Xenopus tropicalis: one gene and its partners. The protein of the gene in region 2 purifies or fractionates together with the protein of the main gene of each other region. This does not show direct contact. Links are inferred from orthologs where the notes say so. Each region holds a gene or a part of one and is shown on either strand. Other genes may lie near its edges. The genes, in order: dpf2, smarcc2, bcl7b, bcl7c and ss18.

Region 1 (4,274 bases), on a different chromosome or scaffold from region 2:
AGGTAGTTCTACGTGCTCGCTTATACTGCTAAATTAGCATCTTGCTCACTGCCCCACCCCCTTGCACTGCAGCTTAGCATGTTTCCTTTTACCCATGCCATTTCCCACAGTGGGTTCTGTAAGCCTGTGCTCATCTGCCATCACACAGCTGTATTGTTTTTTTTCTCTCTCTTGGCACATTGGCTTCTCATCAGGCAGATAATTTAGAATAATATAGAATATAAATGTAACCGTATAATGCTGATTAGTAATTCAGATTCTCATTATATGGCAGCTCTGGGACCAGTGCAGTTTGCATCAGAATTTTATAATTAGACCTGTAGCATCAGTTTGACAGGCCAGCCTCATTTTCAGTTTGATCATTTGCGACAACCCCTAAGCTTAGCTTTTCAGTAGCTGCCAAGAAAACACTGATCGTGTGCACTGTCCAGGACAGTTCTAACAGAATCCAAGATGGGAAGCTCCTGTGGCAACTGTAAAGACCTATATACTACTATACTACTATATACTACTGTAGAGATACTAAAACTTGAAGCTAGTACAGTCAGTTTAGTAAAAAAAAAAAAAAAGTATAAAATAGCCATATTCATCTTTAGGGTTTAGTTCTCCTTTAAGGGTGTTGGGAATGGAGGTTATGTTCCATGAAGATGCTCCTCTAAAGCTGGCCATAAACATACTGATAAGCTTTTCATCCTATCTTCAGTTCAAATATGTTTGTCAAATACTTCTGGCTGATATCCTTTATCAGTTTTTATAGGTTGGTTTGTCAAAGGGAAGGTAAAGCCATAGCCAGTGGCATAACTAGAGATATATGGGTTTTGCTGGATTTAATCTCAGGACCCCCACCCACCCCCAACTGGCCACGGCTCCTACTGTTTTTGATTTCTGTCATTTGAGATGGTAGAAAGGTGGATGCACTTTTTATGGATACAATACAATATCCGTCCTTTGGCCCACAGGCTCAGTGGTCATTACCAGCAAATATTAGTATATGGCCACCTTAAGAATTCCGTATAATTTCTGTTCTAAAGGGACTTAAGGCATCATTAAAATAGGTAGCAGAAACAAACCTATCAAGAAATGGACCCATAGGGTCACACAAACATATATTTCAGGGTACTGTTTCATCCATATATGTAAATCGGGGTCTTACTCCGGATCTGGGACAACCTTTTACCTTAAATTGGTAAGGTATGTGCCCAGGTCAGGATGTTGTGCAACAAGCAGGCTCAAAGTTCTGGGGCAATGTAACATGCCTGACTGATTAGTCTCTGTCTGTCTGTGTGCTCTTCCTTACTCCTTGTGTAACACATGTTTCTGTTGCCAGATCAGAAGTGCAGAGGTATTTATCTGCTTCGTAATTCAATAACATTGTTTGCTTTTTTTCTCACTTTAAAAGCAGGCTACCCCAAAGCAGAAGTTTAAGGTTTTTATAGTTATGCTGGTAAAAGTCTGGCCTGGAGGCAAACTGCTTCTAAATATTCAGCCACAGGAATTTAAAATACCTAAACCAAAAGCTGTAGCATGAAGACTGAAGTCCAGGGAGGTTTACTTGGAGGTGCACTTTTAGATTTTGAATACCAACCACACAGACATTCCAGTGCCATCCTAGCTGGCATCTTTAAAATATCATCTCAAAAACTGAAAATCATTTTTGATCTTTGATCTGCCTGTTGGACCTGTACCTCCAATAAAAGAATAACTTTATTTTTTTTTTTACATCTGGCAGTATTGTGTTGGTACTCCTGTGTGGTACATGATGTTTTCTACTTTCACCTTATAAAGCATATTGAGTTATGTAGGTGTCTTTTAGCTTATGGCACAAAAAAGTGGTTGATATTGCAAAATTATTGCTGAATTACTAAATACATTCTAAGTTCTTTGTGAAAACATGACCTTTTTTTACTGTAACAGTAACATCTGTCCCCAATGTAAAACACCTGCAAACTATCCTTTCCTGCCACCCAGTTTCCCTTGTGGCTTTGCTTTGTTATACATCCTCCTGTTTTGGTGGGGTAGTGATTTTTCACCTGACTCTTTTTAATGTTTATCATTGCACTAATGCTTTATTACTTCTTTCTACTCTTCATTTTCTGCTGTCCTGCTTTTTCCCCCCAGTCTGTGGAAAACGCTATAAAAACAGGCCTGGTTTGAGCTATCATTATGCCCACTCACACCTTGTGGATGAAGAAGGTGCCGGGGCAGAAGATAAGGAGGATTCTCAGCCTCCCACTCCTATCATGCAGAGACCAGAGGAACAAAAATGTAAGTTTAGGCATCTACACAGAATGCAGAGGAAATGTTTGGGCAACTTCAGAAAACGAAGCACCATGTATGCTTTCCAACCGGCAATTCACTTTACTGTTAGTGGGAAAGCATTTTGGGGAGATTAGTCGCCCATGGTAGCGTAGATTAGGGCACCATTGTTTTAGGTGTTGCTTTCAAAAGCGATTACAAATTCATTAATTACAAATAATTCAATAGCAATTACAAATACATTTCATATCATTAAAAGTATATATCAAAAATTGCTTAGGATTGCATTACTTAGGTTATTCAAAATAGTTTTTTTAAGTTTGTTCCTTCTTGTTCTCCTTTTTCAACATATTTGATGCTTTTATCTTTTCCCAGCCAAAAAGGGCCCAGATGGTCTTGCACTGCCAAACAATTATTGTGACTTCTGCCTTGGAGACTCTAAGATTAACAAGAAAACAAACCAGGCTGAGGAGCTTGTGTCCTGCTCAGACTGCGGCCGCTCTGGTATGTTAAAAGAAGACTCTAGTATTTGATGAAGACTTAATACTACATGATGCATCTGATTTTATTTTTAACTGGAAAGCTTTTGCATTTAAAAGTTGAAGGCCCAAATGGGCTGTCCTAACACTCATAGGAATTCCGAACTATAATGTTTTTCAGGAATTCTCAATTTAAATATTCTAAAATGGGATATTGTGATGCATATATATGTTTAGAAGCTATATAAATGTGCATTCTGCTAATAATTTAGAGCAGTTCTTGGCTAACTGCGGGCCTCATCCACTTAGAGGGGCATGGGGGATCGGGGAAGTTGGGCAATTTCTGAGTAGCAAGCCAATTAGGGTGAGAGCTTTTTTTTGCACTTTAGATACTCCTGAAATCCCCATTGAAGGGTTAAGTGAGGAGTGAAGACTTACTTGCAGCCCTAGATATTCTTAAAACTGAAAAACGGGTTCATTTGAAACCTTGCTATAAGCTAAGTGGGTTGTGGACCTCAAAATGAATGTTGGGGATGAACTTTTAAACCACTTTGCCGGCCAGTTAACAGTGGTAGCAAAAAGCCAAATTTACAATTTTTTATTTTTCTTCTAGTGCAGAGAGTGCAATAGCACTTTTCTGCACTAGTGATGTGGCACCACCTTTACCTTCTCCGACACTAAAGATTAAGCGCTGTGCGGGGGGACAGGATTGGGGCACCATCATTTGTTTTGCTTTTTTTTTTTTTTTTTTTTTTTTTGTACATCCATAGAACAAATGTATACAGCAACATTGTACAGCAAATTAACTCCCTTCAACATTTGGCAGCTTGCCTTCTAAAGTTCCCCTATGATTTGAGTTATTGATCCTCAGGTCAGAAATATCAGATTAGCTTGCTGAGATTTACAGCCGGTTGCTATGCACATGTTGCAGAGGTCAGCAGAAATATGGTATTTTTTAGTTTTTGGATGAACGCAGATATTGGATACATATGTATGCAAAATATTCACTTACATACTATGTTGTGGACACAGGGCACCCTTCCTGTTTGCAGTTCACACCCGTAATGATGGCGGCAGTTAAGACTTATCGCTGGCAGTGCATAGAGTGCAAATGTTGTAATATCTGCGGAACCTCTGAGAATGACGTGAGTAATTACTTGCTGCTAATTGTTTATGAACTTCCCTGTATTAAGCTCCTGTTTATATCTTTCATTTTGCATAACTTGCATTTGGGATAACCTTATGCCTTGTTTTAAATCTTTAATTACCAAGTACTATATATGCATTTTACCTTGTTTACATTAGAGGATTGTTAGTTCCATTGCATATCCGCCTGTTGCAGATGACATTATAAGCCTTGCTCTTCAGCAAAAACTGGCATGCAGCCAGTGCCAAAAATTGCAATGGCCTGTACTTTGTTGTGGGAATATTCCTTACTATTCCCTGTCAGCACAGAATTGGGTTCACTCATGTCCCAGGTCCACTAATGGTCAGATTAATGCTATGCTTAATTGGCCATGTTGCTATTTCATATGCACA
Region 2 (4,274 bases):
GTTGCTACTTGAGGTGTGAAATCTGGATATGCTTCACTGAATAAATGATTTGGCACTTAGAATTTAGTTAGATATTTTGAAAATGTATGCCAATTACCTATGCCTACCTAACACAGGCTCTGGAAATGTATAAAGATGATTGGAACAAAGTATCTGAGCATGTGGGGAGCCGCACACAGGACGAGTGTATCCTGCATTTCTTACGACTTCCCATTGAGGATCCATATCTAGAGGACTCTGAGGCCTCTCTGGGACCACTGGCCTATCAGCCCATACCCTTTAGCCAATCGGGGAATCCTGTGATGAGCACAGTAGCCTTCCTTGCATCTGTAGTAGATCCTCGGGTAGCATCAGCTGCAGCAAAATCAGCTTTGGGTTTGTTACTTTTATTTTTATTTGTTGGTACAGTCTTTGCTGTATTCAGGGGCATTTTGGCCCCTAGTGCCCCAGAAATGTTGGGAATATTAATAACCTTTAAAAGACTTTGTAATGTTTCTGATTTATTAGATGAATTTTCCAAGATGAAGGAGGAGGTTCCCACAGCACTGGTGGAAGCTCATGTCAGAAAGGTCGAGGATGCAGCCAGAATCACTGGAAAAGCTGATCCTAGTTATGGCCTTGAGAGCAGTGGTATTGCTGGAACAGCTTGCGAAGACAACGAGAGGATAGGTGAGTTAGACTCTTAAGTCAATATATATATATATATATATAATCTCAGACTGCTTTTCTGGTTCCCAGATATATTGATACAGATATGGGATCTGAATGTTAGGTATGTTTTTCAGGACTACGGTCTTTGTCTCAGGGGGACACGGGGAATGCATGAGGTTGAGCTCCACCCTCCAGGAGGCTGGACACTTGAATAACAAATTAAGGGGATGTACCAGGTCCACTCTGGCTTTACCCCTACATTGTACCCAATCCAGGAAGATTTTCAAGTATCCTGCTTCCAGGAGTTTTGACAGCCATGTCTCTAATGAGACTCTGACATAATTTCTTTGGTTAGTTCAGGGCAAGGGCCTTTTCCCCCCAAAATTTAAAATATCACAGGGCGGATTTATGAGGATTGAGAAATTCTTCCTAATCTTTCTTGGTGCATCTTTCACAAGAGAATTTAGTTTTAATTATTTGTTGTACACATTTTTTTTAGCATCAATATGATAGTGACATGTTCCTCATTTATCAGGGACTTTTCACTATGACATAAGCTCTTCAGTGAGATGCTTACTGCTTCCCCACAGACCCCTGGTACTGATATGTAGGCAGCACCTCTTCCAGTGATCCCCAACCAGTGGCTCGTGAGCAACTTGTTGCTCATTGGGTTTATTTTGGATATTGCTCCCAGTGGCCTCAAAGCAGATGCTTATTTTTGAATTTCTGGCTTTTATCCAAGTTTTGGTTATATATAAACCAGGAGTAATGCAAAACAAAGCCTCCTGTAGGCTGCCAGTCCACATAGGGGCTACCAAATTGCCAATCAGAGACCTTATTTGTAACCCCAGGAACATTTTTCATGCTTTTGTTGCTCCCCAACTCTTTTTACATTTAAATGTGGCTCACAGGAAAAAAAGTTGGGGATCCCTGCCTTAGAAGTTGACATCTGGCTTTGAGGCAGGTGGAAGTTCTAATAGGTTGAGGACAAATGTAATTAATACGACAGCCTATTAACAGGGGTCTGCAGTGGAGCATGGAGGTTGGTGGGGATGGCAGAGGGGTTATTAAAGGGATAGTAGTAGTTAGGTAAATGCAGGGGTGCTGCTGCCATGAGGCAAGTTGAGCTTCTGGTAACCTTTTAGTGTCAAAATTCTGATTTTTAAATTGGAATTTCATCTCTTCTAGTGCAGAGAGCAGTCTCTGCTTGCCAAAAGCTCTGAGCTGTAGATGCTGGGGGCAAGTGGGGACGGCACCGTTGGAAAGTTTGCCTCAGGGCGCCCAGGGAAGTAGGATGCAAAGATTTTCTTTCAAACCCTGATAGGCCCTTTCGTTTAAATGAATCTCTTTAACTTTGAGCCCCCACTTTGAGAAAAGACTATAATAAATATCCAAAAGGAAATTTTATAAATATCTAGGTGTAATTATTTACTTTTGTTGCAACTTTTATATTATTGGTTTCCACAGTTGCTGCGTAAAGGATTTCCAAATAACACATGCCATACATGTGTGATTATATTTTGTTTAAAGAAAAATGTTTTAGATTATTGCATATATTTACTGTTTTAATAAAGTGACTGAATGTTGTTAGACAATGTTGCTGAGCTGTTCTATTTATCTATGGATCCTTTGGGTTACTTTGGTGTTGTTAGTCAGGCAAGGGAGAATAAATGACTGAAAGTTGCCTTTTGTCCACTCTGTAATGCAATCTAAGAATAAGTCATTAAATATATGGCAGATTTGAACATGTAAATCTTAATCGCCACAAAAATATATCTGTTGAATACGACACCTTTTGGCTTGTGTCAAATTGTATTCATTTCAGGCAAAATTTACCTTGACTCCTGTCTGACATGTTCACTTTTAATTTAAATAAACCTTGGGCCAGAGGGGTATGTTAAAAATAAAATAGCATAATATATATTAATCCATTTTGGATTGGCCAGCTATCAATTATCACCAGTTACTTTTCCATTGGTGCCCTATATTTCCCTTGGTGTCAGGTGCTGAGTGTGAAATGTACATTTCAGAGAGCCCTGTGGGTTAATATGGAGGACAACATTTTTTGTCAGCTTGTGGCAGCAGTTATGCCTTGTATACACATCATAAGTACCTTATGCAGAGGGGCAACCATGTTTTTAAGTTTTAATTATGAGATTAATATAGAGATGAACTGTACAAGGCCCTTCATATTTGGAAAGTCAGTAATTATTTCTTTCTGTGTTTATTGATGCCTTTCACAGATTGTCCCAAAAGGAGCACCCCTGAAATCCATGGTAGGAAATATTCCTCTCTTACACACAAGACTTCTTTAACATGATACATTCCATTTCTACAACCATACACATTTCTACAATCATAAAAATGCAAAGTTGGAATAGAAGAGAGTTTTGTCAAATTATATTTATGTATGAATAGAAGGAGGGAAGGAAGAAAAAGGGGGAGGGGAGGAGATGGAGAGTGTATCATGGTATTTTAGACAGCAGTTGCTGGAGACTCCAGCCATGGGTTCCAAATCTTCTCAAACTTTTGTGGGCATCCTCTGGCTAGGTAAGTTAACCTGTAGAGTTCCAGTTGAGAGTTTATCAGCTTTATCCATTTATTTAAAGTAGGAGGTAGGGGACCCATCCAATGTAGAGCCACAGTTTTTTTTTTTTGCATAAAACAAAAGAGCCCTCATAAGGGATCTGGAAGCTGTCTTGGGTAATAGGGAGTCCACCAGGCCCAACAGGCATGTGATTGGGTTTAGAACTTGAGGTAAGGAAAGTTTGTCTGCTACGAAGCACTTGACTTGTTGCCAGAATCTCTGGATGTATGGGCAGTTCCAAAGTAGGTGAATAAAATCAGCATCAGGTTCATTGCAGCGAAGGCATCAGGAGTGTTCCAAGCAACCCATCTGGTGTAGTTTCTTAGGCGTTAAGTAGGTTTGGTGTGTAATTTTGAATTGAATTAATTTGTCTCTTGTGCTTATTAATGGGGAATAGATATTGTCTACCACCTCTTCCCAGTTATCCGGGTCCAGGTGGAGGCCACTTGTTTCCCACTTGAGTTTGACTCTGGGTCTGGTGTCATATTTGTAAGCAGTGATTGCTGCATATGCTTTGGAGAGAGTTTTCAGTTTATCCGGGGCAGAGATTACATTTTCTACTGCCGTGTATTGTATGGGATGAGTATTGCTTTGGAACTGTATGTGGAAGAGATGTTACATTTGCATGTAACTGAACACCGACAGGTCCGTCAGGGCAGGTAGTTGTTGGAGTTGTTTGCGGGTTTTTAGGGACCCTGCGTGTAGTAAGTGATGGAGTTGTTTGACCCCTGATCTTGCCCATGTCACTCCATTTTCAAAGGTTGTAAAGTTGTTAAAGAGGGTGTTGTGCCACAAAAGTATGTCAGGTGAAATTGAGTTTTTTGTGTTGGAGATTTTATACATCATGTCCCAGGCTTTTTTTTATAGAATTTAAAAGGGGAATTAGGGGGGGAAGACATTTGCTAGGCCTGTATAGAGCGTGATGTAGGGATTCAATGGAGCCAAAATACAGTGCTTCTAATAGAGAAGCTGGGTTTTCAGTGTCAAATGTTTTCCAGTTCGAGGCATGTGTTGCCTGTGCTGCGAGGTAATAGAG
Region 3 (4,274 bases), about 110 Mb from region 2:
ATTATTATTCTGGACAACTTGCTTTAAGGTAAAAGACCCTATATCTAAAATATTACCTATATTATTAGTTCCCTTTGCATTGTGTTTCATGCTGTTTCCTTATGGCAATATCCCAAGTGGAATTCTCTGTTCCATATAACATATTCATGCATAAGACCAATATACAATTTTTCAAATAGCTTCATTTTTAAAAAATATTCTTTGTGTGGTAAAATACATCCAAACTAAAAAGCTTCCTCTGCAGTTGTTTTGATTCAAAAGATATTTTTTTACGATCAAAGAAGTCTAAGCATAGTATAGGCAGAGAAAAGTAATCTTAAGTTAAGCAATGGAGTAAGGTAGGTTTCTGGGTATTTTCAGCAAATGTGTTCAAAATGTGCTATTGGGCAGAGGCTACCTCCTAGCCAAATGATGATCAGGACATTTGAAAGTCCCAGGTTCAAATGGTGACAAGACCCTCAGACAGTCCCAGGTTTGGTCTGTAAGGAGACTCTCAAACAGTCCCTGTTTGGACAGTGATAAGATAGTCAGACAGTCCCAGTGATTGATGTCTATGAGGCCTTTGGGCAGTAAGGAGATCAGACCTTTCTGGGCTTTCGCAGTGATTAGACCATCCGACAGTCCCAGGTTCACCAGTGATGAAACCATTAGCTTGTCTTGGGATTGGGTGGTCATGAGCTAAAGTGCCAGGTTTTGGTAAGGAAGAGTCCTCGAGAAAGTCCTCTGTTAGGTGGTGGCCGCCTTCTACGAAATGATGAGCAGGCCCTTGGATAGTCTCAGCCAGGTTCAGATGGTGACAAGACTTTCAAATAGTCCCAAATTTGGTTTGTAATTTGGCTCTCAGACAATCCCAATTCAGACAGTGATGAGACAATCAGACAGTCTGAATCATTGATGTCTATGTGACCATCATACTTTTCTAGGTTTGAGCAGTGATGAGACCACAAGTCTGGGCATTAAGGAGACTATGAAACAATCTTAGGTTTGGGATGTGATGTGACCATCTGCCAATCCTGGGAGAGTCACTTAGAAGGTTCTTTTCTGTAGCAGTAATTTGTCCACAATAGGTCTCAGATATGGGGCCAGGTGAAAGGGTAACACGACAAATGGGACTAAAACGATTGGTAAAACTTTGATAAAAATAATAGATAATACGAATTCTATCTATACTTCAGGTTGTGGGATAACATCACCTGGAGAGCTTGGCATAATAGAGTTTGTGGCAGACTCTACAGAAACAAAGCAACAAGCTTCATGTCTCTAATGTGCTACGACAGTCTAGGAAATGTCTGTTATGCTGAAGATCTAGATTGGCAGAAGGAAGCATGTTTCTTGGCACAATCATTCGCAGACCTGCCATGATATTACAGAAGAGTGCTAAGGTTCTGGCAAAAGAATATACGCAAAGGCTTGTGCACTTATGAGGTTGTGTGATCACCCCTCATGTGAAAAGGTGCATTTTCACATAATTGCACAATTTCCAGCCTCAAGTGCAATCTTTCTCATCTAGAGATCTCCGAAGGCTGTAGCAGGAAGAGTAGGTGTGATGTGTAACTGGAACTAGCCTTCCAAAATGGCAGGAGCCTGAGAGGGCCCCTCTGTGCATACTCTCTTAAGAGGCGGTGCTCCAGATTCATCTAATCCCCCTGCCTGAAATTAAAGAAAATATATGTTAGTAGATTAAAAGTCAGTTGTGCTCATTTCCTAACATGGAGTAAACTGCAGTAACCCATAACAAAAACTACGCAGAATATAAAATACTAATTAACATGGTGCAGTTTAAAAGTAAACAGCTCTTAAATCCTTCACAAAAGATGTGGATAAACCACAAACCAAATCCATCCATAATAAAATCTGATCAGAATCACTAAAAATACATAAGCAGGGAGTAATTAAAAAACACCTACTTTCATCTAAGGATCTAAAATCACATGGGCAGAGGGGCACTTTAAATGCCATGCAAATTAACCGAAAACCAGGGGGCCATAGGCTTTGATGCAGCCTGCAATAGGCTTTAAAGCAGTGGGCATTAATTATTTTTCAAGCATGGGGGCCAGGGGGGGGGTCAACCGTTGCACTGCTGGCACACACCGTAATGGCCACAACCCCCCTGCCCCCCCATCCCCCATTAACACCTATGTTTTAAAGGACAAAGAAAGTGTAAATAGTACGTGTGTGGCATCTTGTATCTCAATGCTCAAGGTGCTGACTGCATTCTACTCTTCTGAAAAATACTTTTGCACCTGCAAGTCAAAGGCTGATGTAACTGTCAGTCCTAGTTTATGTACTATTTAAGAAAAAAAACAAAAAAAAACACCCAAAGCACCTGCCATTGCCTTAAGGCAGAGGTCCTCACACTACGGTCCGGGGCCACATCCGGCCCCCCAGGGTAATTTACCTGGCCCCCCTCTGCGTCCTCACCCCTGGAATCGGAGAGAGAGGAGTCAGTGGGGAGCGGGACGAATGGACGGAAGACTGTGGAAGCTGGAAGAGGTAGGACTAAGCGGGAGGGTGGACAGACTGTTGGACAGTCGGACAGAGCGTGCACAGGGGGGAGGGGCAGTTTGGTGGGTAGGTTGGTGGGTGGTGCTGGAAGAGAATGCAAGAGCGGGGGAGTGGGCCATAGTTTGACTACGGGGAGGGAGGTGGTGATGGCAGTCCGGTCGTCCAACTGTCTGAGGCCATGAACTGGCCCCTTGCCTGAGGGGCTAAGTTTGAGGACCCCTGCCTTAAGGGTATGATGATGGAGAGGTCAACCCTCTGAATTGGAAATGTTGGGTGCTTATTCAGAAGACTACCACTATACCTCAACTGGCATGACCTTGTATCCTTCCCACTGAATATGTTAGTCTCTTTTTATCTATTATTTGTACCTGTGCAGTGGATAGAGATGGCTCCTCCTTGGTGAGAGTTGGGGGTTCATCAGCCACTTCTTTGTGAGGCATGGAGGGTTCTGGAGAAATAAATGCAGACTGTACAATTACTGCACCTACTGAACATCTTCTAGAAGCCTAATTAGTAGTAAAACACTTTGGTAATGTATCTTTCCTGTGTATATGGGCATTAACAATGAACAAATAAGGCACCAATAAATAACCAAAAAGGTACCCTTGCGCACTGCAAACCTTAGTAAACATAAGCTAAAACCTGGAAAAATACCCATGCCATAAAATTGTATTTACCCATGTTATGTTAAAGAACACACAGCAGACTAGGATGGGATTTATTTAGGTAAGAAATAAAATATACCATAAACTACTTCAAGTGCAGATATGGGACCTGTTATCCAGAATGCTGGGGACCTGTGCTTTTCTGGATAAGACACCTTTTTGTAATTTGGATCTCCATTCCTAAAGTCTATTAAAAATTTAAAATTAACCCAATAGGATCATTTTGCCTCCAACAGGGATTAATTATATCTTACTGGGGATCAAGTACAAGCTACTGTTTTATTATTACTTAGATGGCATTCCTGTAATTCTGAACAGGTTGATGGTATACCTGCACAACTTTTGTACATGAACAAAACATAAATAATTGGCATGTATAGTCCATAGTACTGATTATGTTAGACTAGTCCTTTAAACTCCTCCTACTGACCTTCTAGACTCTCTTGACCCAATGTAGGGGGCTGAGAGTCTAAGGTATGAACAGGACTTGGGGAGACACTACGTGGAGGGCTGGGGCTGGAAGTGCTGCTTTCCACCTTTGGCTGGTAGACATCAGATAATGAACTTTGGTTACTGGTCTCATCTAAGGGAAGAAAAAGTGGAAAGCAAAAAATAACCGGTGAACAAAAAAGCAATTGTGTCATACTGCACTAGATCAGACAATAATACATAAACTCCTGCAACATAAATGGCCCTGAAAGGGTTATAAATGTAATGAGTATAAAGAATCATGCACTTGGTTAAGTCACTAGCATGAGAAACGATTCGCTTCTGGTTTTCTTATGGAAAGATTAACTACATAAACCCTGTTCAATGTTACATAGTTACATAGTTACATACATAGGGTTGAAAAAAGACCAGAGTCCATCAAGTTCAACCCATCCAAGTAAACCCAGCACACACAACCCACACCTACCAATCTATACACTCACATACATAAACTATATATACAACCACTAATACTAACTGTAGATATTAGTATCACAATAGCCTTGGATATTCTGATTGTTCAAGAACTCATCCAGGCCTCTGTTAAAGGCATTAACAGAATCTGCCATTACCACATCTCTAGGAAGGGCATTCCACAACCTCACTGCCCTCACC
Region 4 (4,741 bases), on a different chromosome or scaffold from region 2:
TCTCTCCCTCTGGGGGTCTCTCTCTCTACTCCCTCTGGGGTCTCTCTCTCTACTTCCTCTGGGGTCTCTCCCTCTTGGGTCTCTCCCTCTGGGGTCTCTCCCCCTGGGGTCTCTCTCTCCCTCTGGGGTCTCTCTCTCTACTCCCTCTGGGGTCTCTCCCTCTGGGGTCTCTCTTTCCCTCTGGGGTCTCTCCCTCTGGAGGTTTCTCTCTCTACTCCCTTTGGGGTCTCTCCCTCTGGGGTCTCTCCCTATGGGGGTCTCTCTCTCCCTCTGGGGCCTCTCCCTCTGGGGTCTCTCCCTCTGGGGGTCTCTCTCTCCCTCTAGGGTCTCTCTCTCCCCCTGGGGTCTCTCCCTCTGGAGGTTTCTCTCTCTACTCCCTTTGGGGTCTCTCCGTCTGGGGCCTCTCCCTCTGGGGTCTCTCCCTATGGGGGTCTCTCTCTCCCTCTGGGGTCTCTCCCTCTGGGGTCTCTCCCTCTGGGGTCTCTCCCTCTGGGGGTCTCTCTCTCCCTCTGGGGTCTCTCCCTCTGGGGTCTCTCTCTCCCTCTGGGGTCTCTCCCTCTGGAGGTTTCTCTCTCTACTCCCTTTGGGGTCTCTCCCTCTGGGGTCTCTCCCTATGGGGGTCTCTCTCTCCCTCTGGGGTCTCTCCCTCTGGGGTCTCTCTCTCTACTTCCTCTGGGGTCTCTCTCTCCCTCTGGGGGTCTCTCTCTCTAATCCCTCTGGGGTCTCTCCCTCTGGGTCTCTCTCTCCCTCTGGGGGTCTCTCTCTCTACTCCCTCTGGGGGTCTCTCTGTAGCCCCCGCTAGCAATGCTTGCACTGTATATTCCGGGGCTGCTAATGTGGTACTGACCCGTTTGGGTGCATTTGGGCCCCAGTACAGTTATTAACCCTACATTACCTGTTGTATTTGGCTTCCCCAAATAATGCCCAGACTATGGCCCAAACCTGACAGCCCCCCAAGAACCACCCGTACCTGTTACTGGCCCAGCCCAGATACCTGGGAGTCTCCATTACAAAAGGGAAATTTGCACCACACAGAAGGAGCATTATGGGAAAACTGACCCTTGTTTCCAGTAAAGGCCCCCCCAGGATCATTATAATGCACAGTAAATATGGCCGCCCCCTTCCTGCCTTGTCATTTGCTAATGGGCATCTGGGCCCCCCAGGCTTCCTGTGTCTGGGTCTATTTCCATCCCTATTATAACCCCCCAGCCTCGTTATATCTCTGTGCTAACGAGCTACAACTAATATTGTATTTCTACCTCTGTACTTACTGTCCCTGTATAACAGCACCCGGCCCTCCCCGGGGGGAATGGTAATGGCCACATACAGACACAATAAACATTAACTGTAAGTGAACTTTCCCTTTAAACTGTGCAAGGCAAACGCATGGCCTGGGATTCTAATGATAAGGCCCTTCTGGGCACCTGTACAGCTCTTGCTAAACGGAATTTCTGTAAAGGGTTATGGGAGTTGTAGTTCAGCAACTCCCGGAGGCCCCCTGTGCCCTGAGCAGGGAATATGTTTTGCTCCCTGTAAGGAATAAGGGGCACAAACCCAGTGGGGCCCAGAGGGAATGAGCCATGTGGGTGCTGGGACAGGGGTGGGTGGGAGTGTTTACAACTGGATCACAATGGAGGGGGGAGAGTTTCCTGGAAGGGGGTGTGAGTTACAGAAGTTTCCCTGGGACACCAGGGGGCAGCAGAGAGCTCCCAGGGACATGGGCTGTGTGACAGTTGGATATCCGGAGACAGGAACACTCAGAAAAGTGACAGGCACAAAAGTGAAAGGGATTCAGCAAGGGGGAGAGACTGCACAGCAAGGGGGAGAGACTGTACAGCAAGGGGGAGAGACTGCAGAGCAAGGGGGAGAGACTGCAGAGCAAGGGGGAGAGACTGCAGAGCAAGGGAGAGAGACTGCACAGCAAGGGGGAGAGACTGCAGAGCAAGGGAGAGAGACTGCACGGCAAGGGGGAGAGACTGCACGGCAAGGGGGAGAGACTGCACGGCAAGGGGGAGAGACCGCACGGCAAGGGGGAGAGACCGCACGGCAAGGGGGAGAGACTGCACAGCAAGGGGGAGAGACTGCACAGCAAGGAGGAGAGACTGCACAGCAAGGGGGAGAGACTGCAGAGCAAGGGGGAGACACTGCACAGCAAGGGGGAGAGACTGCAGAGCAAGGAGAAGAGACTGCAGAGCAAGGGGGAGAGACTGCACAGGAAGGGGGAGAGACTGCACAGCAAGGGGGAGAGACCGCGCAGCAAGGGGGAGAGACCTCACAGCAAGGGGGAGAGACTGCATAGCAAGGGGTAGAGACCTCACAGCAAGGGGGAGAGACTGCACGGCAAGAGGGAGAGAGCAAACGAAGGAGGAGACCCCCAGAAAGAAAGAAGACAAGGAAGAAATGAAAAAAAGCTGAAGATATTACAGGCCAGAGAGAGAGAGAGAGAGAGAGAGAGAGAGACTGCTGGGCCCCAGACATGGCCAACAGGACAGGCCGGGCAGAGACCAGGAGCCGGGCGAGAGATGACATCAAGAGAGTCATGGCAGTCATAGAGCACGTGAGGCGCTGGTATGGCAGCTAGTGGTTCTGCCCCAGGTGTGGGGTGGGTGGGAGGCAGAAGAGTGGGCTACTAACCCCTGGGCAGCCACAGCCCCTTTTTCTTTGTGATCCAGTTGCCCAGTGGGTCATGTGCTGTGGGGATTGGTCAGTGGGGAGAGGGGGGGCTGATACACGGGGTTAGTGGGCAAAAAGGGGTTCATGCACTTGTACAGCAGTGAGATTTGTGCCTACAGTCTGTGTGTGCTAGATTGGCCGGTAGGCATCACAGGGTAGGTACAAAGGCATGTACTAGATCAGGGTGGAGCAAGCTGGTTGGTGGGTAGGCATCACAGGGTAGGTACAAAGGCATGTACTAGATCAGGGTGGAGCAAGCTGGTTGGTGGGTAGGCATCACAGGGTAGGTACAAAGACATGTACTAGATCAGGGTGGAGCAAGCTGGTTGGTGGGTAGGCATCACAGGTTAGGTACAAAGACATGTACTAGATCAGGGTGGAGCAAGCTGGTTGGTGGGTAGGCATCACAGGGTAGGTACAAAGGCATGTACTAGATCAGGGTGGAGCAAGCTGGTTGGTGGGTAGGCATCACAGGGTAGGTACAAAGGCATGTACTAGATCAGGGTGGAGCAAGCTGGTTGGTGGGTAGGCATCACAGGGTAGGTACAAAGACATGTACTAGATCAGGGTGGAGCAAGCTGGTTGGTGGGTAGGCATCACAGGGTAGGTACAAAGGCATGTACTAGATCAGGGTGGAGCAAGCTGGTTGGCGGGTAGGCATCACAGGGTAGGTACAGAGAGGGGCCTTGGGAGGGCGGAGCCACCCGGCGGTGGGGAACATCACTGTATGGGCATGACGGTGCTGTGGGGCAGGGGGAGCCAGTGACCAGTAAGCTCAGTAATGTCAGTGCCTGTCCCACAGGGAGAAGCGTTGGGTGACAGTGGGAGACACCTCGCTCCGGATATATAAGTGGGTGCCAATTGTGGATCCCAGGGACGAGGTGAGTCTTTGTCTTGCTTTGTGCATTGAGCGAGGGATTCGCTTCCGCTCTTCTCATCGGCATTGGGTTCTACTCATCATCTGTGCCGCTCTACCGGCCAAGCTGGGCATCTTCCTTTCCAACCTGCAGAGCATCTCACTCCCCTCTAACAGAACATCTGACTGACTGTTTCTAATCTGCAGAGCATCTCCCTCTCCACTTCTAACCTGCCAAGCTAATTTCTCTTTTCCAACCTCCAAAACACCTCCACTATACACCACCAGAACTTCTCAATCCCTTCACCTCCCACATCTCAGTCCTTGCTACGCACCTCCAGAACACCTTAGTTATCCTTTCTATACTCCTCCAAACAACCCAGTCCTTTCTATTTACCTCTAAAACTTCCCAGTCCCTTCTATACACCTCTAGAATATCTCAGTCCCTTCTACACACCTAAAGAACATATCAGCCAGTGCTATAAACCCCCAGGACTTCCCGGTTCCTTCTATACACCTCTAGAATATCTATAAACCTTAAGAACATATCAGCCTCTGGTATAAACTCCCAAGACTTCTCAGTTCCTTCTATGCACCTCCAGAACACCTCAATCCATTCTATATACCTCTAGAACATATATGTCTCTTCTCTATACCTCCAGAACATCTTGGCCCCTTCTATATGCCTTAAGAACATATAAGTCCCTGCTATAAAGCGCCATAACTTTTCAGTTCATTCTTTTTACCCCACAACATCTTAGTCCCTTTTATAAACCCCCAGAACATCTTAATTCCTTCTATACACCTCCAGAACATCTCAGTCCCTACTATACTCCCCCAGAACATCTCAATTCCTTCTATACTCCCCTAGAACATCTCAATTCTTTCTATACACCTCCAGAACGTCTCAGTCCCTACTATACTCCCCTAGAACATCTCAATTCCTTCTATACACCTCCAGAACATCTCAGTCCCTGCTATACTCCCCCACAACATCTCAATTCCTTCTATACACCCCCAGAACATCTCAGTCCCTACTATACAACCCCAGAACATCATAATTCCTTCTATACACCTCCAGAACATCTCAGTCCCTACTATACACCCCCAGAACATCTCAATTGCTTCTATACACCTCCAGAACATCCCAGTCCCTACTATACTCCCCCAGAACATCTCAGTCCCTACTATACTCCCCCAGAACATCTCAGT
Region 5 (4,755 bases), on a different chromosome or scaffold from region 2:
CCTAGACTGGATCTACATTACATACTGGAGCTACCCTAAACTCTCCCCTCTTCACCAGGGACAACTTAGCTCATCAGATAAGTCCCCTACGCCTCTATCTTTTTAGGAGCGAGTGTTTTTGCTGTCCAGCACTGTGGAATGTGTTGACACTTTATAAATGAGTGCTAATAATACTTTGTCTTAGAGCACTGTGATAGAGGCACTTTGGGGTAACCTAAGTTACAATATTTCTACACTGGCGTTCTTATGAGGTGGCTGTGGCCAATTTTCTGTCCCAGCAGTGATATAATGTAAAATATACAGCACAAACTGACTTCTTACCTTTGTGCATTGTACAAAATTTGTGTTATGTTATTCAGAAAATGATAAAGTATAAAAAAGTTAAAAAGTATATATATATATATATATATATATATATATAACTGAACAGTAGAAAGCACTCACAGCTACAGCATCAATCAGGTCAGTGATTTATTTCAGCATACCATCTACGCGTTTCATCCTGATGACGATCCTGTGGTGATCGAAACGCGTAGATGGTATGCTGAAACTTTCTACTGTTGAGTTTGATGCATTATTTCTGTCAGCACCCAGCCTGTGCCCCATACTGGTGAGTGCCGAATCTTTACAACTCTCTCTCTCTCTACCTCGCATTAACAAAAAAAAAAAAGACGGAAAAGAGACTTTAATACATACTTTATTATAAAACAAACGTTAAACATTGAACGAGAGTATGTAAAGCTGCTGTAACTAACTTGCAGCAAATTCAGGGTTTCTTTGAAAATGCAACTCCCGCCCTCAAAATCGACTTCGCGGTATTGTTTATAGCAGAAAGTCAGCCAATCGCTGATTCCAAGGGGCCAAACACTGCAAGACACGTGTTTATAGCTCATCACGTGTCAATACCTAACTTCTGGGAAGTTCATTCTTCTTCATCATTGAGAAGGGCAAAACCCCTGTATCTCAGTGAGGGTCGCTTCGCTTCAGTTTACACGCCATGTATCATTATAGTTCTGCGAGTTATAATAAGAAAACTATAGCCCACCTTAGTTTCTTTGCAAGCCATACCCGCCAATAGGTAATATGGAATTGACCGATGGGTCGTACCATTATCTCAAACGAGGGGAATGTTATATTAGCTGGTACTTAAAATAGCGATAGCCATTTACTAAGGGTAACATAGACGTTTAACATAACCCCTCAACTGTAACGGTACATGGATATCCTCGCTCGATTGTTTTTAACAACGTACGATTTGGAAGAAACTGTCCATTTCCTGCTTTTCTTTTCGCAAAGGATTATGGTATAAACTTTTGGGCGAGACCTTTCTGTATTTACAGGGGTGTATTGGTAGACTGGGAAGTTATAGCGTTTATTTTATGTCTTCGTTGATTATTCTGTTGTTGTTATTATTAAGAAGTTACACAAGTCTGAGCTTCCCTTAAGGGCCTCTTAGATATATGTTGCCTGTATGGAGTAAATGCTTGCCTGTTTGTTTCCGCACCCCCCCCCCCTAGGATGTTGTTGAGTCGCTTGCTGGAATCTCGCGGTGTGTGAGAGCGGCAGTGGGAAGTCCGTTCCAGATTTCGCCAGTCTTTCCCTTTAGAGACGCTTCGTGCCTACACTTCGCTCCCTTTGTTTTCTTTAGCTCGTGTATCATGTCTGTAGCTTTCGCGGCTCCCAGGCAGCGGGGGAAGGGGGAGATCACTCCTGCGGCCATTCAAAAGGTAACCGCGCCGATATTAAAAAATACGTTCAATGCAACTGCTTAGTCGTGCCCTTCTGCCGGGAGGGAATTCCCCCAACTGCACTGGTGTAGTGCTTTCTAAGGCTGGGGGGCAGTGTACGGGGGTGGGGAGTCCTTACTGTTCTACTTAAATGCTATCGATTAATAAATGGCAAAGTGCCACAAACATATTGTATGTGCCTGGGTTTAACCATAGACAAGGTATCTGGAGCTTTTATCATCAGTTATATTACCAAGGAAGGTCACTGTAGGTGTAAGGACAAAAAAAGGCACATAAACGTGTCAGCAGAGCCAAATTGGTGAGCCATTTTATCTGTACTGTATCTGGGCCACTGGGGATTAACAGCCACCCTAAAGAGGTTCATTAAAGATCATTAAAATCTGTTCTAAGCAACTTTTCAATGTACGTTTGTTACAGTTTTTCAGTGCATTATTCTTCGATGCAAATACTATCGAACACAATATCTCCAATGTCTCCGTACTGTTTGTTCCGACTACTGAAACAAATTAGAAGATGCAGCTAATTAACAGACTTAGAAAAAAAAAAAAGTGCAAGACATTGTTGAAATTGAAATCTAGCTTCTGCAACATTGTATGAGAAATCAGAGCCAGCAGTAAAGATGGCCATGCACGTAGTGAAATGCTTTTCAGTACATTTGGGGGCTTATGGTCCCGACAGATATTTATGTACTGTGGATATTGGTCATTTTGTGTCAGACAGGTTTGGAAATGTATCTGCAAATACAGCATATTACATTACATTAACATTTATTTATAAAGCGCCAACATATTCCGCAGCGCTGTACAATAAGTGGGTTACATACATGGACATACAGAGTAACATATAAAGCAATCAATAACCGATACAAGAGGTGAAGAGGGCCCTGCCCAAAAGAGCTTACAATCTACAAGGAGAAAGGGTTGAGACACAAGCATATCAGCAGGTGCGGGATGTACGTGCTGATGAGGAGGAAAAGTAAAATGGAGTTATGTCCTGAACAGAATAATAGGCTGCCCTAATGTGTTTGGCCCCTTGTATCAGGGGGATACTGTGTTGATTCAACCATGTATGGCTGCTGTAAAAGTGGGAAGAACAGCAAAGGACAGGCTGTTATTGCATTCAGTTGTAATTATTTTTAAGAAATCAGTTTAAAATTATCAATATTTATAATCTGGCTAAAATTCTATTTTAAGTAGGCAAAAGGTTACTTTTGTTTTTTGGCTCCCTTGTTCATAGCTGTTGGTTTTGAACCAGAGTTTTTGTTTGTGACTGGTACTTTGTTTGCATTGACTCCTACAAAATTTCACTCTCATATTGGAATAACACTATTGCACAGGAACCCCTTTATACAGTGTTTGTGTCTGAGTGAGCAGCCATGATGGCTTTTAGCTGTAGGCCCAGGCCATTAAAGGCCACTACACTTCACAGTTCTCCAGGTATATCTGTAAGTACTGTTTCATGTAGTAGATATTCTATGAAGTCGTTGTCACAGAGAAATATGTAAAATAAATATATTCTGATTCTTGTGCTTGGCATTTCATATGATACTGTTAATTTTTAGTTACATTTGTGTTTCTAACTGTACAGGGTAAATATATATATATATATATATATATATATATATATATATATATACATATTTTTCAAGATTATCAAAGCTAAATGGCTATGAATATTTTGGATAGCTTCAAAAATTCTACAGTGCTGTCTCCCCCCTCAGTGCAGCACAATGTACCTTTCTGCCGCATGATTCCTATGGTTGTCCTGTATGTTCCTGCTGAGAGCTTGACATGGCTATACAAGGTTCTGAGAGGCTAGAGACCTTGCTTTTTCATTTATTTTTGTAAAATATAGTGTGCATTGTTGGTGCTATAAAATTAAGCAACGATATGCAGTTAGGTCAGTACTCCAGCATGTAAGAGATTAGCTTTGTCCCTTGCCCATACACATAAGGGGAAACATGCTTTAACTAAGGAAATCATAAGTGGGTTACATTCTTGTGTTTTTGACCACCATAACCTAAGTCTTTCATTGCACAAGAACATGGCAGTGTCACTTTCATTGGTATCACTAATCAAAGGCTGCCAATAGTTCTTATGCACAGGGTTTCTTTATTGGTTCTAAAGCACATTATTTTTAAAGGAGAAGGAAAGGCTAATAAAGAGTTAATCTCAAGCTGCAGGCATACATTCAGTTCTCTAAATAGTGCCCTTAAGTCTCCCCATATTTCACCTGTTAGATGATCAGAAGCCAAACAGGAAGAAAAAACACTGAGCTGTGTAAAGAAAGTTCCCATTATGCCTCACTCCTGCACAGACACCCAGACCAAGTGAACATGCTCAGTTAGTAAGAGTATGAGTGAGCTTCCTGCTGATTGGCTCAGATCCACATTCTTAAGGGAGGAGTGAGTTCTTAGCATACTTGAAGGAGGGGGGAGCAGGAGAGAGGAGACAGCAGAGAGCTGTGTGTCTCTGGCATATGAATTACAGACACAAGAAATCTTTTGACAGAGAAGTCAGTGCAGCATTTCTTTGAGTGCTTATGGCTGTATTTACATAGACCTTTCTGATAAAGCTTACTTAGTTTTTACCTTTCTTTCTCCTTTTAAGTAGATAAATTATGACTCTTTGGCCTATTGCACATTGGGTGTATACTAAGCTAACCCTTTTTTGGCAGTGTATTTTCTGGCGATTAGTATCTGTGAAAAAGTAGCTGCTACTAGAAGCTCCATGTGTCTTCACCCTAAGGGAATTTGCCAGTCACCACTAGTGACATGAATGGAAGGTGAACTAATTGGCATCCAAAAGGTGAACAAAGTGCATCTGGATGTTGGAAGTGTTGAAATGATGCCAAAGCACTATTTAACATTCTCATTTTGACACTAACCTTAATCTTGTATATTAATTTTGTAGTACAGAATGCTTTTTAACTGATCAGTCAGTTATTTTTCAAATTTTTTTTTTTTTTTTAATTTTCAGATGCTGGATGAAAATAACCATCTAATACA

The links.
Region 1: the proteins of smarcc2 (region 2) and dpf2 purify together in Homo sapiens (affinity purification with mass spectrometry; 8 studies listed by BioGRID and IntAct, counting the BioPlex papers as one, with this or other methods). This does not show direct contact. The link is inferred for Xenopus tropicalis from reciprocal best matches to the Homo sapiens genes SMARCC2 and DPF2.
Region 3: the proteins of smarcc2 (region 2) and bcl7b purify together in Homo sapiens (affinity purification with mass spectrometry; 3 studies listed by BioGRID and IntAct, counting the BioPlex papers as one, with this or other methods). This does not show direct contact. The link is inferred for Xenopus tropicalis from reciprocal best matches to the Homo sapiens genes SMARCC2 and BCL7B.
Region 4: the proteins of smarcc2 (region 2) and bcl7c purify together in Homo sapiens (affinity purification with mass spectrometry; 4 studies listed by BioGRID and IntAct, counting the BioPlex papers as one, with this or other methods). This does not show direct contact. The link is inferred for Xenopus tropicalis from reciprocal best matches to the Homo sapiens genes SMARCC2 and BCL7C.
Region 5: the proteins of smarcc2 (region 2) and ss18 purify together in Homo sapiens (affinity purification with mass spectrometry; 3 studies listed by BioGRID and IntAct, counting the BioPlex papers as one, with this or other methods). This does not show direct contact. The link is inferred for Xenopus tropicalis from reciprocal best matches to the Homo sapiens genes SMARCC2 and SS18.

The regions. Positions count from the first base shown.
Region 1 is NC_030680.2:32,327,288-32,331,561, reverse strand, and holds part of dpf2 (zinc finger protein ubi-d4), read left to right. Parts: coding exon of another isoform or gene 1-2; intron 3-2,118; coding exon 2,119-2,265; intron 2,266-2,631; coding exon 2,632-2,760; intron 2,761-3,767; coding exon 3,768-3,880; intron 3,881-4,274. UniProt on the Homo sapiens protein: Plays an active role in transcriptional regulation by binding modified histones H3 and H4. Is a negative regulator of myeloid differentiation of hematopoietic progenitor cells. Might also have a role in the development and maturation of lymphoid cells.
Region 2 is NC_030678.2:137,498,666-137,502,939, forward strand, and holds part of smarcc2 (SWI/SNF complex subunit SMARCC2), read left to right. Parts: coding exon 1-13; intron 14-116; coding exon 117-375; intron 376-507; coding exon 508-669; intron 670-2,894; coding exon 2,895-2,927; intron 2,928-4,274. UniProt on the Homo sapiens protein: Involved in transcriptional activation and repression of select genes by chromatin remodeling (alteration of DNA-nucleosome topology).
Region 3 is NC_030678.2:30,751,279-30,755,552, forward strand, and holds the end of bcl7b (B-cell CLL/lymphoma 7 protein family member B), read right to left. Parts: intron 3,754-4,274; coding exon 3,601-3,753; intron 2,954-3,600; coding exon 2,874-2,953; intron 1,651-2,873; coding exon 1,561-1,650; 3' UTR 248-1,560; downstream 1-247. UniProt on the Homo sapiens protein: Positive regulator of apoptosis. Plays a role in the Wnt signaling pathway, negatively regulating the expression of Wnt signaling components CTNNB1 and HMGA1.
Region 4 is NC_030685.2:5,709,096-5,713,836, reverse strand, and holds the start of bcl7c (B-cell CLL/lymphoma 7 protein family member C), read left to right. Parts: upstream 1-1,784; 5' UTR 1,785-2,009; intron 2,010-2,324; 5' UTR 2,325-2,476; coding exon 2,477-2,568; intron 2,569-3,475; coding exon 3,476-3,554; intron 3,555-4,741. UniProt on the Homo sapiens protein: May play an anti-apoptotic role.
Region 5 is NC_030682.2:110,346,754-110,351,508, reverse strand, and holds the start of ss18 (protein SSXT), read left to right. Parts: upstream 1-1,658; coding exon 1,659-1,727; intron 1,728-4,726; coding exon 4,727-4,755. UniProt on the Homo sapiens protein: Appears to function synergistically with RBM14 as a transcriptional coactivator. Isoform 1 and isoform 2 function in nuclear receptor coactivation. Isoform 1 and isoform 2 function in general transcriptional coactivation.